3 linked regions of the Coturnix japonica genome follow. The protein of the gene in region 1 purifies or fractionates together with the protein of each later gene. This does not show direct contact. Links are inferred from orthologs where the notes say so. Each region holds a gene or a part of one and is shown in the gene's direction. Other genes may lie near its edges. The genes, in order: SAP30, SIN3B and SUDS3.

What was found.
Region 2: the proteins of SAP30 (region 1) and SIN3B purify together in Homo sapiens (affinity purification with mass spectrometry; 4 studies listed by BioGRID and IntAct, with this or other methods). This does not show direct contact. The link is inferred for Coturnix japonica from reciprocal best matches to the Homo sapiens genes SAP30 and SIN3B.
Region 3: the proteins of SAP30 (region 1) and SUDS3 purify together in Homo sapiens (affinity purification with mass spectrometry; 4 studies listed by BioGRID and IntAct, with this or other methods). This does not show direct contact. The link is inferred for Coturnix japonica from reciprocal best matches to the Homo sapiens genes SAP30 and SUDS3.

The regions. Positions count from the first base shown.
Region 1 is NC_029519.1:38,529,613-38,533,360, forward strand, and holds the start of SAP30 (histone deacetylase complex subunit SAP30), read left to right. Parts: upstream 1-1,155; 5' UTR 1,156-1,481; coding exon 1,482-1,778; intron 1,779-2,477; coding exon 2,478-2,600; intron 2,601-3,748. UniProt on the Homo sapiens protein: Involved in the functional recruitment of the Sin3-histone deacetylase complex (HDAC) to a specific subset of N-CoR corepressor complexes. Capable of transcription repression by N-CoR.
Region 2 is NC_029543.1:3,320,520-3,324,167, reverse strand, and holds part of SIN3B (paired amphipathic helix protein Sin3b), read left to right. Parts: coding exon 1-68; intron 69-533; coding exon 534-623; intron 624-1,039; coding exon 1,040-1,158; intron 1,159-1,475; coding exon 1,476-1,683; intron 1,684-2,310; coding exon 2,311-2,427; intron 2,428-2,765; coding exon 2,766-3,004; intron 3,005-3,583; coding exon 3,584-3,648.
Region 3 is NC_029530.1:8,704,288-8,707,935, reverse strand, and holds part of SUDS3 (sin3 histone deacetylase corepressor complex component SDS3), read left to right. Parts: intron 1-377; coding exon 378-439; intron 440-1,302; coding exon 1,303-1,324; intron 1,325-2,062; coding exon 2,063-2,168; intron 2,169-3,648.

The DNA.
Region 1 (3,748 bases):
TTATGCTCAGCATAAGGTCAAAACCATCTGATGAAATGAAACGGATCACAAAAGACACAGTGTAAGCTGGTAGAAATTGCTACTTGTGACCCTGATTTCTGCTGGAAACTTCCTGGAACTCACACTTCTTCCTATATCTTCTTTAGGTAAGGTCTCCTACTGTTGTGTGGCTTTGTTTGTTATTATTAACATCATTATAATCTTTGAAAGGGTCGAATCACAAGGAACTTGAGCAGCGAGTTAAACGTCCCTTTTCTGAGCTGACACAGTGGCAGGGTGTGGAACTGAACCCAGCTGGGCTGTAACAAAGGAGGGTTCGGTATTTTTTCCAGCTCTTAACCCAATTTCTCCCTTTAATCACAAAACGTGCCCTCATGCATAACTGCTGTCTGTCACTGTACGCTCAGCCTAACTCCACTCGCTGGATCCTTCAGTCGCAACTGCTGGGAGCGTAAGCGGGACCTACCCTCGTTCTCTAATGCCAGGTTACGCAACCGGATTAAAAAGCCATCTGCAGCACAAACCCAAACTGCAGCATAATCGCACTCCCTGGCTCAGGCAGTTGTTGGGCTTACACGGGATCTGCGTCTCCTCAAATCGCTCGCTGACCTCCCGGTTACTCTCCTGATTCCACACTCGCACAGTAATGGATACGGCCGCATATTTCCGCGGTTACCTCACGGCGCTCGGGCCCGTTAGCGAATTTAAGGGCTCAAAAAGGAGCGCAAAGCCGCCTTTTTGCGCTCTGAACGCACTCGGACGAAAATAGGTCAGAGGCGGCCCCACAGCGGCTGAGCTATTACAGGCTGTGCGTTAACGCGGCTCTCGTGTAGCTTTCTTAGAGCTCGAAATATCTCAATACAGGCAGCGTTTGATCCGGACACAACGCGGAGCCTCAGAATCCACTTCCCGCCCCCGGTAGCGGCACGGCCGCATTTCAAATCCCAACGGCCGCGCCGACGGGGAGGAGCGAAGGCGGCGTCCTACCAGCCGGCCCGGGCCGACACCGCCACATGCCGGCGGGGGGCGGGCGGAGCCGCGGCACCGAGCTGCAACAAGCTGCGGTGTGTGCGGAGCGGAGCGCCCCGTCCGCCGCGCAGCTCGGGAGCCGTAGTTTCCCGGCCTCGCCGCCCGCAGCGCAGAGCGGCGGGACGAACTGCGTTTCCCGGAGCGCAACGCGGCTCGGCCTTGAGCAGGCGCAGTGCTGAGGGGCGGGGCGGCGGGCAGGTTGCTGTTGTTGCATAGGAAACAGCTGAAGAGTCTCCACATGACAGAGGGGGAAGGAGGAAGCGGGGCGGCCCGTGGGGCGCCGCCAGCGCGCCGGTAGCCGCGGGGCTCGGAGCGAGGGCGCCCGTCGCGCCGCGCGTGTTCCCTCGCGGTCCGGGCTGAGCGCGGCCGTAGAACCCTCCGGGCCCGAGTCCCCTCGCCGGGGGGAAGCGGTGGCGGCGCTCGCGGGGCTTCCCGCCGGCCCGACGCGGGGCATGAACGGTTTCGCCCCCGAGGAGCTGCCCCAACGCGGGGCCGACCCCGCCGTCGCCGCCGCGGGCGCGGTGAGCGGTGCGGGCTCCGGAGCGGAGGTGCCGGCGGGGTCGGCGCCCCCGGGGCTGGCCGTGGGAGCCGCGGGCGCGGCCGGGGCGGGCGGCCCCGGGGCCGGGCAGCTGTGCTGCCTGCGGGAGGAGGGAGAGCGCTGCGGCCGCGCCGCCGGCAACGCCAGCTTCAGCAAGAGGATCCAGAAGAGCATCTCGCAGAAGAAGGTGAAGATCGAGCTGGACAAGAGCGTAAGTCTTACGGCAGCGGGCAGCGGCTCGGGGGCGGCTTTTAAAGTTCTTTTTTGGCGTGTTTTCTTTTGTTTGCGGGTTGTTTTTTTTTTTTGTCTTTGCCGGCGGCGGGGAAGCGCCGTTTCCCAGTCCCTCCTTTCCCGCAGCGCTGCCGCCGCCCCGTCCCGCCTGGAGCCCGGCGCTGTCGGTGCCCCACCCGGCGGCCGTGGGCGCGGGGCTCCGTGTGGGGAGGGCTCGGCGCGGCCGCACGGTGCGGCCCTGTGCAGGAGAGCTGGGGAATGAGGGGAGCGGCCCGCGTGTCGCTTGACCTTGCGGAGGTAAAGCCGTGCGGATGGGGAGGAGGTGGCATTTTGCCTCCCGCGGGATGTTCCGGAGGCTGCCCGCCTTCCGTTCGTGCGTGTTTGTTTGCCGATCCCCGAGTTGCTGCGAGCGGTTGGAGGGAGGGTTGTGTGCGCGCTTGTCCCCGCTGCGCGACGTTCTCTGCCAGTCAACCGGTAGCCGCTTCCCCCCGTCCTCCCGCCGAGTCGGTGGAGGTAACATAACAATGCCTCCGTGCAGCGCTATCAGGCAGAGGGGCTTCCCCACCTCGCTCCGCGTGAGCGAGGCTGCCTAAGGAATGTCTCTGTAGATGCCTCTGTGCTGCCAGGCTGGGAGGAGCTTGCACGGGTTTGATTGAAAGATGCGGTCTTACTCTTGTAGGCGAGACACCTTTATATCTGCGACTTCCACAAAAACTTAATTCAGAGTGTGAGAAATAGAAGGAAGAGAAAAGGCAGTGATGACGATGGTGACTCACCAGTGCAAGACATCGACACTCCAGAGGTAGCCAACGGTTTTTCTAATAGTTACGTTAAGTCTGTTCCTGCTTCAGCCGTGCCTGCTTTTGGGGATGGCTCCTGATGTGCTTGGCTTTTAATATGACAAAAGCAAACTGGATTCCAGGGTGTATTTTCTCTATTAGATGTGCAGAATCTCAGGCAGCTGCTGTTTTGAACTTTCCTTACAGTTTTGGCTCCAGGAGCCTGCTAGAAGTTGTTTTGCTATGAAAATCAGTCTTTGTAAAGGTTGACAGGACACACCGGACTTGGGCTATAACTGCTTCTCTGTCACATCCCTCCAATCCTTTCCTTCCATGTGAAGCACGTTGCAGATGGTGCCTGTAGTTACCACTTAGTGTAGCTGGAAGTTTCTCAGTGAGGGAGCTCACTGGTTTTAGTCCTTCTTGGGGATAGAGATGCTGAGGCAGTTTTGCTGAGGAGGAGCTGAAATAAGAAGGCATTTCTGCTTGCCTTCCTTATTGTAGGCCAGTGAAACACCACCCGTTTTGGAAGTGAACTACTTTCAAACTTTTTTCATAGTATAATGTGAATGCACTTAAAGCTTTCTTCTTCCTACATGTGTGCTGGATTATTTCTGTTACAGTTTGTGTGTTAATCGTTGAGCACAGCCTACCCGGCCTCAACCAAGAGATTTATCCAGTGTTTGTCAGAAGGTGCTTGAGGATTGTGAACTTATCCTTAAGGTCAGCGTCAGCAATGTCAGTGATGAAACTTCATGCAGGAATCTCTGCCTGGAGGCACACGGCTCAAGCCTGAAGGCTTTGACTATAAGAGGATTTTAGGAGATTGGAAGTAGTTTGATGCTGGGCTGTGGTTTTTGTCAGCTAAAAACATTGGATGGCATCTCTGAAAGCTCTCTAAACCTGCTGTTCTTTGTGGCTTTTGGTAGCTGTCTGGCACAGTGGCAACTGCAGCTTTTGCCTGTTTATTTGCTCAGACAGGAATAATAAAGCATGACACAACTGATGGATATCCCTAGAACAGAAGAAAGGAAATGTATTTTCAGTGGTAGTGGTGCAGGGAAGTAGGTAGTTCTGGAGAGTTTCAGCATGCAGTTCCTGTGTGGTGTTGGTGTGCTATAGATGCCCACTGGCCCCTTGATTTTTGAACTGCCATCCAGTTTACTGCTGA
Region 2 (3,648 bases), on another chromosome or scaffold:
AGAATCTTGAGCACAGCAAAAAGCGATCCAGGCCGCTGCTGTTGCGTCCTGTTTCTGGCCCAGCAAAGGTATCTCTCTGCAAGTGACCTCATATTACTCGTTTTGTTTATGTAATTCCTTGGGTAAAGTTGTAATGAGTAGTGACTGTGAAGCATGTAGGTTAGGTACAAGGGGGAAAAAAATCAAAACTATTTTATATAATCTGCAAGGAAAGCATTCTAAGATGTATATGGTAGCATGTTGTATACTGATCATCAAGCCTTTAGGTGCAGAGTATTGGTCCTCAAAAGGGTAATTCATGGCTTCTGCAAAGGAAACTTTCTTTGGAATTCTTCCTGAAGTGATCCTTCTCCTCCTCAACTAGGATTCATTTGATACAGATTGCTGTGGAGGACTTGACATAGCAATGCTAGATTGCTGTTCGGGAAATACCGATGATCAGACTTTGCAGAGAGCTGTTCTGTGTCAACAAGTGGAGTTTGATAGCATTTGAATGACAACATATTAAGTATAATCGTTTGTTCTTTTGACAGAAGAAAATGAAACTGAGAGGTACCAAAGATCTGTCAGTAGCAACAGTGGGAAAATATGGAACGCTGCAGGAGTTTTCATTCTTTGACAAGGTCAGTACACGGCCTGTTGTCACGCTGTGGGCTTACTTTAAACTTGTTATTATTTATTTAATCTGTGTGTCAGCACTTAGCAATTGCCTGACTTCAAGTGGCAGAGGGAGGGCAGACCAAGAAAAAAGCAAATAGATGGGTTTGGAAGAATGGGAACTGATCATTAGCCATTTCCCGAATGCTTGTTTCTATCACGTACGTTTTACTGTGCTTTTCAGCAGCATTTCCTGATAGTGACTATATGTAGCTATTAAATTAATGTTTGAAACTGAGACTTCTGGGGAATGTTCTCTTTTTATGCTGCAATGCAAATAGAGGTTGGTCTCCATACCTGTGGTTCAGACTCCTTAGAATATGAACACTAATTAAAAGTGACATTCAAGTGGTTTGATAATTTCTTTCCAAACTGTCTGTAGGTGCGTAGAGTACTCAAAAGTCAGGAAGTCTATGAAAATTTTCTCCGTTGCATTGCTCTCTTCAACCAGGAGTTGGTCTCTGGTTCTGAGCTGCTCCAGTTAGTTACGCCATTTTTAGGGTAAGTTACTGATTGCCATCTCTGCTGCATTGGCCTTTTTCAGCCTTGCTCTGTTAATTTTTGGTAGGTGCTGTGAATTTTGTCACTGAAGCTTTGAATTCAACATCAGAAATACATTTTAGGTAGCATGCCAGCAATGCAAAGCTAATCCACAAAGAGAAATAATACAATTGGAATCTTTAATGTAGCTACCCAACTCTTGGGGAGCATTCTGGGGAGGAGCTTATTTAGGTTTCATGCTTTTATGACAAGTATTAGCCAGCCTAAAACTGTTGGAATGAAATAACATAGGTCATGCTTATTTGTGTTTTTTGAAGGAAATTTCCAGAGCTGTTTGCACAGTTCAAGTCCTTTCTTGGTGTAAAAGAGCTTTCGTTTGCTTCTCCACTGAGCGACCGATCCGGAGATGGAATGAGTCGGGAAATAGATTATGCTTCCTGCAAACGCATTGGATCAAGTTACCGTGCTCTCCCAAAAACCTACCAGCAGCCAAAGTGCAGTGGGAGAACAGCCATTTGCAAGGAGGTACTTTGGCATCATCCACTAAATCCCTGCACAAACACTGTAATTATGTAAATGAAAGTACAGCTTCTGCACATGGGCTCCTCTTTAACTGACTATCCCTCTTCAGTCTTGTATCAGTTATTCATCCAATTCATTGAAATAAGAGTATCCACATTCAGCTTGTTAGATTTATCTAAACACATCCTCAGTCATGTCTTTCAGTGTAATCTCTTTTGAGGGTGTTTGCATGCACAAATTTATTTGAATGGACAAAAAAAAATGGAAGTTATTTCTCTAGCAGTGGACTCACCTTTGGAAGCAGTGTTTCTCCTGAAAGAGCACTGTGAGCCAATGCCATAGGCACTGCTGTCACTGAGAACAGACATCTACTCCCACTGTTCCCTGTTGTCTACTTTACTGCAATATCTGCTTTGAGAGAAGATAGTGAAGCTGCTTGTGAACTCTGATGCATTTCTACACAGACCTTTAATTATCTAGGCATAGTCATAATAGTGTTAGCTAGGCTGAAACTTGCAGTAGAAACTTAAGGAAGAACTGTTCAAGAATAAAACAGAGAAGTATCAGAGCTCTTAGAACAGCTCTGGCTCCTAAGACATTATTCAGTGTTGTATCTTTGCACTCTTGCAGGTGTTAAACGATACCTGGGTTTCATTTCCATCCTGGTCTGAAGACTCAACTTTTGTCAGCTCCAAGAAGACTCCTTATGAGGAACAGTTGCACCGCTGTGAGGATGAGCGGTTTGAGGTACCTCTGCTGTTCAGCTTCCATTCTCCCTCCTCAGAAAACAAAACTTTTAGCTGTTAAGGCTTTTTACTGAACTAATCATTACCAAATACTGGAAGCTTTATTAGTGTTCATTAGTTTGAGCAAGAGTTTGGGGTTTTCCCACTTGCTAACAGTTCTTTTAGGCATGAGTGCAGTTCTGGAAAGCATGTTACCTTTGGAGAACTGGCATAGGTCTATTTTCCAGTAAGAAGCCTTGCTGATGCTTCTTAGCTCCACCCAGCAGGCAGCAGATCTGAGCACTGCTCAGCTCCATTTTCCTGCGCTGTTAAACTGTGTCTCTGTGGACTCTTTAACAGCTGGATGTTGTCTTGGAGACCAATTTAGCCACAATACGTGTGCTGGAGAGTGTGCAGAAAAAGCTTTCTCGTCTCACTCAAGAGGATCAGGAAAAATTTCGGCTGGATGATTGCTTGGGAGGGACATCAGAAGTGATCCAACGCAGGGCCATCTACCGCATCTATGGTGATAAAGCACCAGAGATCATTGAAAGTCTGAAGAAAAACCCAGTTACTGCAGTCCCAGTTGTTCTTAAGAGGTAATTCCTGTTCTCCCACACTCACCTGGGATCTTAAAGAAACCAACACAGGATTGTAAAGCTCATTTTTGTTTTTTTCATTTTTTTTTTCCCCCAATAAGTAACTTGGTTTTTACTTCCTTACATTATAATAAAGTACAGAAATAGGAAATAAAGTAGATTTTGTTTACTTCTGAAGTGACAAATATTTTAGCAGCTCGTTAGAAGCATCTAAAATGTTTCAGTAGCTTGCTGAAAATGCTTCTGTCTGTGTTTAGAGTTCACAGACTGTGCTTTAAAAAAACATCAAGTTTTTGAGGTTGATTTGGGAGCAAAATATGAGTTTTAAGTCCTCCCTTCTTCTCTGTCCTGCTGTTTCTGAATACTTGGGTCATACACTTCTTTTTGCAATGCTGAAAGGTTCTGTGAAATGATCTCCAATGAGAAAGTTAAGGTGTTGGAAATTGTTGTTATTTTCTAGTCTTCCAAGCATTTTTAAACAGCTGGTTTTGGTAGACACTGTTAGAAAGGACAGCTTATCTCCAGTGATGGTGCTTTTATTTGTCTTTTCAAACTGAAGTAGATTGTACATTTATGCAGATTGAAAGCAAAAGAGGAGGAGTGGCGGGAGGCCCAGCAGGGCTTCAACAAAATTTGGCGTGAGC
Region 3 (3,648 bases), on another chromosome or scaffold:
TTCAGCTTCATTTTACAGGATTTCAAGGAAGTCTGTTGTGCTGCAGCTCACAGATTGTTCTGTACGGCAACGCAAGCTGAAAAGCACTGGAAATGCTCCTTGTTTGATGCCTCCACTAAATGTCAGCGTGCTAAAGGTTGTTCATGGATGGTTTTAAGTGAATAAGCTAAAGAGATATTGTAGTGCTTGCTGCTAATAATATGAGGCTTTGTGGGGGCTGACTTGCATTAATTGTATGATAAAAAAGTATAATGCCCTTATTAAAATCTGATGCAATTTCACTAAGCATAACCCAGAAGGTTTCTGTAAAGTGAAATATCATCGACCTTTAATTTTTAGCCTTGTCAAGAGCTTTAGAGAACCTTAATTCTGGATACCTCAGCTGAATTACTTGTTGACGGATGAGCAAATAATGGAGGACCTGAGAACCCTAAATAAGGTAGGGATTCTGGCTTGAGTTATATTTCTTTATTTTAAAGAAGAGCAGAGCTCTCTGTCCTATGTTCCTTTCTGAGATGTGGGGCTGTTTCATCCCAGTAGGCTTTCTGAAGTAACACAAGATAAGATTTAGCAAGAGGGTATCTCCTCCCTTCTATTTTGGTATGTTTAATTAACCTAATTAAAATGACTGCTGCCTAACAGCGTTACCTTTTGTTGGAACCAAATGATAAGCTATCTTACCGTGTTCTTGTCTTCCCCTGCATGGCTGAACAGATGGTAGCACTGTTTTCTTTGAGATCCCAGCCTCTGTTCCAAGCCTTTGGGGGCTTTTCTTTTTTCTCCCCAATCTTGCAGTGCTTCAGTGAACGGGGTAGGGTACAGTGTGTTTATTTATTGTTCAGCTTCTTCTAGATGTGATTATCCTTGCTAACTGCTTTAAGGCTTATGCGATTTCTCATATTAGGGGCTGCTCATTAAGGCTTTTGATGATGTTAATGGAGCATGCCTTTTGTGGCAGCTGTAGAAGTCTTGCTAATGATCTACATTCTGTGTTTGATCCAGCTGCTCTCAGGGTATGCCATACTCAGAGAATGGAGCGTGTCGGATGGATTTGGTTTGGTGGACAGTCAGAATGCTCTGAAAAATATCAGTTTCTGGCCCTGAAGTATTATGAGATGATCTGCACCTCTAGCTGCTTATGGCACAGTGTTCTGGTTTTGTTATGCCACTTAACTGTACCCTTTAATTAAAAAAAAAATAATACAACCATTTAGAGTATGGGAAGAAAGACCACATCTAAAGTTATTACATCCTTGGTCATTGTCAGATCCCTCACGCTTTCTCTGTTCTCTTTCCATGCAGCTTAAATCACCCAAGAGACCAGGTGAGTTCGCAGTGACACTGGAACTTGTTCACAACCATGTTGTTTTGGACAGAGATTTATATGGTAGACTTCTTGACTGGGTAATTTGGTTGTGTGATTGTTTTGACTGAGTAATTGCTGTTCTTTGTGTGGTTACTGTGGCTAAGGGGTGCCCTGTGGAGTCTCATAATCTCTTAGGAAGTTTGGGGATGGGGAGGCAGCAGTATGTATCCTTCAGGTGTGTGAAGCATTTGGGCAATGAGAGACCACTGACAACATGGGTCAATGTGGCTGCGTAGCAAGACTTTCTTTCTCTGTATTCATATGTGTCTGGACATGTCTTTGTAAAGTAGGCAGAGTAATTAGTAGTAATTTCCAGCTTTGTGGGTTTAGCTCTCTAGGTGTATCTCTACGCTTCACTTCAAGATACAGGTACTATCATGCTGAAGTAATCCTGACCCTATTCTATTAGTACATTATGAATTAGAAGTAAAATGAATCCAAGGATGCAGTGTTTATCACCTGCCTGTACATACTTTGGTTGCTTGATCTATTCAGTAGATGTTACAATTTAAGTAAGCAAGGCCAAGGTTGAATTAGTCATCCCAACAGAAAGTATCTTTCTAAAGGATATCTGAATTTGTAGCTTTCTGTGCTTATTTTTGCTTAATGCAGCCATGTTAAATGATTCTGCAGGCAGATGTGCTGCTGCATGGTGGACATATGCTAATCTTTAAATGGTCTCTTCTCTCCACTCAGTCTCTCCTTCCTCCCCTGAACACCTCCCAGCTACACCAGCTGAGTCTCCAGCGCAGCGGTTTGAGGCCCGGATAGAAGATGGAAAACTCTACTATGATAAAAGATGGTAAGACATGGTAAATTTCTATTTTAATCATTCTGAGCCTTGTTTTGTGAAGTGAAAATGACTGCAGAGAGAAATCACTTTATTAAGGAATCCGGGGGTGAAACGTTTTTGAGCAGTCATTAGCTCCGTCCTCCAAGAATTAATCATTATGGCTTTTGTAAATGAGCGATAATGGAGTGTTCAGACCTCATAGACTTTCTGGAGTAACTACTAGCATGGGGACTTACAAATGACTCCATAGAAAAAAGAAATTGTGCACTGTGACACTTGGGAAATAGTTTTGTCAAATCTAATCTCATGTAAGAGAGCTGCCATTGGCTGCAGTTTGGAGTAGCATTGAAGCTGGTCAGCTAAGATATGGGAGTTCAGTGATTGCAGGTACAGCTGTTGCCAACAGTGTTCACAGTCCACGTGCTCTGCTTTGTAGTAACAACTCTTTGTTCCACGAGGTGGCAGAAGAAATGTGCACCAGATAAGCACGATGACAAATTTCTGATAACAAATCCTAATAACCTTGAAAGATCGGATCCAACGCAGGAGAGGCAGCTTCAGAATTGCTGATTGGATATAGCTCTTTAAGTTTTATGGGTGTTTAGCTGTGGAAGCCTCACAAAATGGAAAGAAAATAAGATTTCTGTGTAAAATTTATTAGTAGGTCTTAATCGGAGACATGCAAAATGAGATAATCAAGGAGGCAATCTCATTCTTCTTAAGCAGAAAGCCATTTCCAAGCAGCATGCTCGTCTGTAGCCTACTCTGTTGGCTCAAAAAAATGAGACGAGGTTGTAATTTTCATACTAAAAGTAAGTTTTGGATTTGTTGTCTAAGCAGCAGCATCGTGTGCTGTTGGTCATCTGTTTTTCCTTTTGCTTGTCTTCTGGTAGTGCTGTTTCATTGAGGATTCAGTGTATGCAACTCTGCTAAAAGCTGCTGCCTGGAGCTTAAACTTCTTGAAGCACAAACCAGACACAAAGAGGCTGCTTGTCACTTCACAGATGCTCTCAGAACTTTAGTTTTGTGTAGAGCTACTGTCCTGTAGGTTACATTGAGAGGAATAAACAGTTCCTTAGGATCTTTAACTGTGCCCATTACTGTTGTGCTGCATATGAAGGAGGACAGATATTGGTGTACCTGCTCCAGAAGTAAATGTGAGAGCTCAGGAGTGGCTGCTTTTTCTGTGTCCGGAAGAAGCTGTGAAAGGACCATTAGCTTAAAGTAGTGAATGGTTAAGGATAGTAAAGGCCCCCCAAGGTCTTGCAGAGGCATTTATAAAATCATATTTCCAAAGCAGAGACTGTGTAGGGAATTTCAGGATGTGGAATCAGACTTTCAGGGTTTTTGTCCTTGTGTTGATTCCACGCTCTCCCCCACATCCTAAACCATGGTTCACCATCTTGTCATTTTGCTTTTAGCTTTGCCTTCACACAGCAGTGCAGTGATTTCTTTCCATCTTCTGCTGCAGTTGAAAATCCCAGCCTTT